2 linked regions of the Xenopus tropicalis genome follow. The protein of the gene in region 1 purifies or fractionates together with the protein of each later gene. This does not show direct contact. Links are inferred from orthologs where the notes say so. Each region holds a gene or a part of one and is shown in the gene's direction. Other genes may lie near its edges.

What was found. Proteins that work in one complex are often made in the same cells at the same time.
Region 2: the proteins of slc37a3 (region 1) and atraid purify together in Homo sapiens (affinity purification with mass spectrometry; 3 studies listed by BioGRID and IntAct, counting the BioPlex papers as one, with this or other methods). This does not show direct contact. The link is inferred for Xenopus tropicalis from reciprocal best matches to the Homo sapiens genes SLC37A3 and ATRAID.

What each region holds. Positions count from the first base shown.
Region 1 is NC_030679.2:5,294,210-5,297,863, reverse strand, and holds part of slc37a3 (sugar phosphate exchanger 3), read left to right. Parts: intron 1-452; coding exon 453-537; intron 538-765; coding exon 766-953; intron 954-3,187; coding exon 3,188-3,329; intron 3,330-3,654. UniProt on the Homo sapiens protein: Unlike the other SLC37 members, lacks glucose-6-phosphate antiporter activity.
Region 2 is NC_030684.2:16,609,460-16,612,557, forward strand, and holds the end of atraid (all-trans retinoic acid-induced differentiation factor), read left to right. Parts: intron 1-12; coding exon 13-84; intron 85-621; coding exon 622-693; intron 694-765; coding exon 766-887; intron 888-1,578; coding exon 1,579-1,676; intron 1,677-2,092; coding exon 2,093-2,197; 3' UTR 2,198-2,594; downstream 2,595-3,098. UniProt on the Homo sapiens protein: Promotes osteoblast cell differentiation and terminal mineralization. Plays a role in inducing the cell cycle arrest via inhibiting CCND1 expression in all-trans-retinoic acid (ATRA) signal pathway.

The sequences.
Region 1 (3,654 bases):
TAGTGTTTCCCTTAGACAGTACAGTATGGGGGTACAGCTTATTGTGTGCCCAGAACATTCCTTCTCTGTATATTTGTATTTATACATATGGGTAGGGGGTGCCATAGTGTTTCCCTTAGACAGTACAGTATGGGGGTACAGCTTATTGTGTGCCCAGAACATTCCCTCTCTGTATATTTGTATTTATACATATGGGTAGGGGGTGCCATAGTGTTTCCCTTAGACAGTACAGTATGGGGGTACAGCTTATTGTGTGCCCAGAACATTCCTTCTCTGTATATTTGTATTTATACATATGGGTAGGAGGTGCCATAGTGTTTCCCTTAGACAGTACAGTATGGGGGTACAGCTTATTGTGTGCCCAGAACATTCCTTCTCTGTATATTAATAGATATGGGAGGGAGAGTATAACTTACTACATGACTAATTTTATAACCCCCCCTCTCTAACAGTACGCCTTCCTGGTGACTGCATCAGTGCAATTTGCTGGAGGAATAATCATCTTCTTTGGACTCGTCACATCCCCTAAAGAGTTAGGTATGTGGTATGATCCAAAAGGTATGCTGTTTTTGTCTATATACCTATTTGTAAGTTTAATCTCAATATTCACCTTTTGGATTACATAGGAACCCTAAGACTAGTTATTTGCAGTTGGTCGTGTTTTTATATTCTTTGTGGGTGTGAGCTATAGCTACATGAATGCAAGGGGGGGGGGGGTTGATTTTGTAACCCGTAGCAGCCAATAAGATGTTTGCTTTTATACAGGTCTCCCAGAGACCGGAGAGGGGGAGACGGACAGGGCAGCCCGAGAGGAAGGGGCAAACCGACCGCTCATCAGCGGAAATGACGACGGAGACGACGAATCAAATTATTCCATTCAGAGCGACGATGTTGTCAGCGCGCCCAAAGCCATTGGTTTCGTGCAGGCGTGCTGCCTGCCCGGGGTCCTATTGGTGAGGCTTAACCCCTTAGCTGCCAATGGCGTATACACAAACACACACAAACACTTCTTTTTTTCATTTTACCACTTTGTTTTTAGTTTCTTTTCCCTGTTTATTTTGACAGCGTGACTATTGGATCAGATATTCTGACCACTAATTACGCTGTCATGTGACTTATTGACTCGTGACTGTTTCTCACTGTTTTTTCACTGATTTGCACAATTTTTGTGGTTTTATTGCAGTTTTTATCCCCGTATTAGTGTTCCTGTTCTTAGCGTAGCTTTGCCAGGTGTAACTTTGGTGTAGGAAAATAACTTTAACTATTTTGAATTCATCTGAATGTGTATTTTCCAAAAATATATGGTTTTCTGGGGGTCTCTGTATAGTTAGGGGGGGATACGGCACATAATACGCTGTTGGGGGGTGAGAAATCCATATGTGCTATTTTCATTTTGGGGTCTGTATATACAACGTACGTCGGTATATCTATGCATATTGGGGATCAAACTGTTCAGTAGACCTTTGGGGTTTCTATTTGGGGGGATTTGCCTTTATCTGCAAGAAATTGTGTGAGATAAATGCGGCAAATTGCAACATTTTTATGCGATTTTCTGAAATGTCATAAAAGTTAGGAAAGCTTTGCGGCTTGGTACTTTGGAGTAGAAAGACATGGGTACCCATTATAGATTCGGGGGAATGTGTACTTTCCAAAAATATATGGCTTTCTGGGGTGAGCGTACTTTTTACTAACTTTATTCCACATATAATGATGTAAATGTGTTGATTTTGCAGGAAATGATTATATGGGGGTATGTTCCCATTGGGGCCCCTATTGGGGGGGCCACATACTTAGCTAAACCTATACATATTGGGCATCAAACTGTTCAGGGGACCCCTGGCGTTCATATTTAGGGGGTTTTATTTGGTTACTTTATGACCTGTAGGAGATAAGATTCTATAGACTGGAAGCTTAGAAGTGATTTTTTAAAAATTTCACAAATTTTGATAAAAAAAAACAATAACTTTAGGAAAGCATTGTGACTTGGTAGTTTGGAGCAGACAGAAAGTTGTGCCTATTCTGGATTCCCCAGAATCCGTTCTTTACAAAAATGTATAATTTTCTGGCATAAACTTTCTGTTAGTGGGAGTTTTGGCCCTAAAATCTAAAGTATGCAGCTTTCTGGCGCAGTGCTTTGGGAATTTGGTAGTGTCCTGCCGGGAGTTTGTGGCCTATACAAGTGAGAAATCCCCATAAAACTATATATATTTGGTATCGGCACGTTCAGGAGACATGGGACTTTGCAAATCAGTGGTAAATTCATGCATAACATAATTTTTGTCTCTGGTGTGTGTGTTTATATAATGGAAAATGTTATTTTTTTTTTATTTTTTAGACATTTAGAAGCCTGTATCTTGTTACAGAATTGGAATTACATAAACATTCGACCATATCTTGAAAGCTTAGGTTGTCCTGAAAAAAATGATATATTGTTTTCCTGGGTAAACTAAAAGTCCCCCCCTGAGGAAAGGCCCCTAAAGTGTAACTGTCTGGCAATACAAGTTCCGCTTTGACCAAAACGGCTGGCAGTGAAAGGGTTAAACAGCTGCTGTATTTTGGTTTAGATTGGGGGCCCTCCAGCTGGAGGCCCTGGGCCAGATGTGGGGTAATTTTTATGGTCCCCTCAGCCTGCTGATTAGATTTTTGTGTGTAATACAGTATATATCTGACATGCAGTCTGCCTATTGATCTGATCTGCCTATTACATGTACATGGCCAGGACTTCCACTAGGGGGCAGCACTGTACCGAGATCCAGCTGTACTCTGGATATAGGCGGCCATACACGGGCCGATTCTAGCTGCCAATATCGGTCCCTTAGACTGATTGGGCAGCTAATCGGCCCGTGTATGGGCACTAACGACGGGCCTGCCCGACCGATATCTGGCCTGAAATCGGGTAGATATCGATCGGGCAGGTTAAAAAATTTAGTCGGACCGACTTTGCCTATGCCCGTCGTTATAATTCGATCGTTTAGCCCCAGGGCCAACCCATAGGTGGGGATATTGGGAGAAGATCCACTCGCTTGGCGACATCGCCAAGTGAGCGGATCTGAAAGTGTATGGGCACCTTATCTGTCTCCCAGATCTCCCGTCTCTCACTGGCAGCATAAGATAACAATTGGAGGGCCCAGGGGCCCCAATGACTTTGCTCTCACTTAAGCACCATGTCTTCTTCTCCTCTGCACAGTACTCGCTTGCTTATGCCTGCCTCAAGCTGGTCAATTACTCCTTTTTCTTCTGGCTGCCCTTCTACCTGAGCAACAACTTCAAGTGGAAAGAAGCCGAGGCCGACCAGCTCTCCATCTGGTACGACATTGGAGGAATCATCGGTCAGTACCCTACAATAACTGCCGTAATGGCTTCCCATTAATGGTTCGGGAGATGCCACATACGGCTTTGCCACTCCTGTGGTCGGAATAGAAACACTCTCTAATGTACCACAAGGGCCACAAACCCCAAACTCCTGTTTCCTGGATTTACTGGAATCGATTTTACTTCCCGTTTTTAAAAAAAAACATGATTTGTGTAACCGATTGCGTAAGGTCCTTATGGGCCGTGGGAATGTAAGGAACACAGAGCTGTTACTGCCGGTATATTGGTCGGGCAGGTTCATCGCCGGGGCCCATACACAGGCCGGAGGGACCAAGTCGGCAG
Region 2 (3,098 bases), on another chromosome or scaffold:
TCCCTGTTACAGGCTGGACCTGTGGAACTGCTCTCTGGCTCAGCTGGACCCCACCCTGCACCTCACACAAGCGGCTGTAGTTCTGTAAGTACCTGCCTGGCATTCCCTTCCCACACACACACGGGTACAGGGCACCCTCTGGGTAATGCCCTACTGAATGTGTGGGCGCTATGTACTCAGCGCATCATCTAGTGTGTGAGCCAGACCTTGCATGGTGACCATTTGTCTAAATGGGACTAATGGCAGCTTAGGGGGAGGGGCTAGAACACTCTGATGGCAGCTTATAGGGGAGGGGCAGGGACTCTGTAACTAGCAGTGGGTGGGGCTAGAACACTCTTATGGCAGCTTATAGGGGAGGGGCAGGGACTCTGTAACTACAGCCACTGGGTGGAAATGAGCGCTGGAAGCTTCTGGGCCGGGTGGGAAGTGTGTTGCTCAGTCAGTGGGTCGGACTTACAAGGGGAGCAGTAACAGATATTGGGAGTGCAGAACATGTGATCGTTAAGTCATTCTGTATTAATACAAAAGGTGCAGTTTAGGTTTTAGTTGCCCTTATCAGGAAGTTGCTATGGTGACTGTGCAGCCATTGTGAGTTTACATTGTCCTGTTTTGCCTCTGCAGAGACCTCTCCTCTAACCCACTGCGGGATCTCCCCTCTGAGTTTTTCCGTGGCCTGTTGGGGCTGCAGTATGTGTGAGTATTCCCTCTGTCTGTCTGTCCCTCCTGTTTTATCCCCCAATGTAACCCCCTCATCTGTGCCCCCAGCGCTCTCCCTGCCGAGCTCAGCTGCCCCGGGGGCAATAACTCATGGGAAAATGTGAATGTGACTTCGGCTGTGAGAGTGTGCCAGGACCAGAGGAGCTCATGTAACAGTACCAGCGAGTGGGGTGAGTACTCTGGGCCCAACATGATCCACAGCTCGAAGCCACCATTTTATGTGCTGCAGTTCTGGCTGCTGGTAGCTCAGATTACACAGCACAGGAAAGCAGGAAAATCTGACACAGAGGAACATGTGACACAAAAGGAGACAAGAAATCCTGTGTTTCTCTTGACAGAGGACTTCCACCCTAGTAAGTAACAATGTGGTTGGATGGAGCGGAATCATTATCTGCAGTTCAGCTGCCGTTGGGCAAGGAGGCACATGTTATAGGGAAGAGCTGGGCCTGGCATCTGGGGCAGGTCTCCCTTATAACTGCGTTCATCTCTGGGGAGTGAGAAATTCTCTCATATTAACCCCTGGGTGTTGGTCTCCCAAACCTCCCCTGTGCTACCCATAATGCCCCTGGGTCATGTACAGTAAAGCTGTCTGAGTGGGGGCCCCAGCCATTGTCAGGTACCAACATTAGGGGGTTCTGCGCCCAGGTCTCTATTCTCAGAGGGGCAGTATTCATCGAACTATAGAAATCCTGAACAATCAAACTAAGTGAAGAGAAGTTGCATGTCCCGGTCACTGCGCTGCATGGGGCATTTGTCCCTTGCCCGACACTCGCAGTATGTGGGCATGGCCTTATTTAATAATGAACAGTGACACTCGTGGATCTGTACCCCAATGTAAGGGATTCTGTTTCTCTCACCCAGTGCTGTGCCCAGAGAACTCTGTGTGCGCCCCAGATGGGCCCGGATACATGCAGTGCGTCTGTGCCCCAGGATTCCATGGCTACAAGTGCCTCAGAGAGGTAGGTTGTGTGGGGATTGGCGGAGCGAGTGGGACGGCTGGGTGGGGATTGGCAGAGCGAGTGGGACGGCTGGGTGGGGATTGGCGGAGCGGGTGTGTGGGGACTGGCGGAGCGGGTGTGTGGGGACTGGCGGAGCGGGTGTGTGGGGACTGGCGGAGCGGGTGTGTGGGGACTGGCGGAGCGGGTGTGTGGGGACTGGCGGAGCGGCTGGGTGGGGACTGGCGGAGCGGCTGGGGGACTGGGGGGCTGGGGGACTGGCGGAGCGGCTGGGTGGGAGGGGAGCGGCTGGGTGGGGACTGGCGGGGCGGCTGGGTGGGGACTGGCGGGGCGAGGGGGGGCGGCTGGTTGGGGATTGGCGGAGCGAGTGGGTGGCTGGGGGTGAGATACACAGTTAATAACCTGTTCGCCCCCCGCAGAGCACGTTTCCTATACTGATGTTCTTTGGGATCCTTGGCCTGGTCACTGCCTGTCTGTCTGTCCTGCTGTGGTGCACTCAGCGCCGGAAAGTAAAGAGCCAATGAGTGAGGAGATGTTCCAGCATTGCTCTGTCCTATTCACTGACCTCTCACTGGGATTGTCCTGATTGGTCCTTGGCTACTTCATGGCTTCCTGATTGGCAACAAGGAACTTGGCTACTCCGTGGCTTCCTGATTGGCAACAATGAATTGGCTGCTCCATGGCTTCCTGATTGGCAACAAGGACATTGGCTGCTCCATGGCTTACTGATCAGATGGACCTGGGCTTTCCAAGAGATATAAATTTGAACTGGCCCATGTGGATGAGTGGCTGGCCCCATCTCTGAGATAACCAGTCCCATTAGGCACGCGTGTAGGAGACTGCAGGGCGGCACTGTTACCCTGTGAGTGGGGCTGCTCTCATTATAGTGGAACATTTATATAAAGCTAACGTTTCCCAGAATTGTCTCTTGGATTTGACCCTTTTGGGAAAAGCTGGCAACTTTGTTGGTTGGTGGGTTATGGACAGGAGTTGGCAGGGGTCCTGCCTGGGTTCTGGATGGGTTGGTTGGTGGGTTATGGACAGGAGTTGGCAGGGGTCCTGCCTGGGTTCTGGATGGGTTGGTTGGTGGGTTATGGACAGGAGTTGGCAGGGGTCCTGCCTGGGTTCTGGATGGGTTGGTTGGTGGGTTATGGACAGGAGTTGGCAGGGGTCCTGCCTGGGTTATGGATGGACTGGTTGGTGGGTTATGGACAGGAGTTGGCAGGGGTCCTGCCTGGGTTATGGATGGACTGGTTGGTGGGTTATGGACTGGTTGGTGGGGGCCCCGCCCGGGTTATGGATAGGAGTTGGTATAGCTATGAAGCCAGCCAGGATGTGAGGCTCAGGTAAACGCTCCTCTCATTGGCAAAACATTACTGGGTCAGTAGGGGCCCCCCAGGAAGACTGAACTGGGCAGTGAGACTT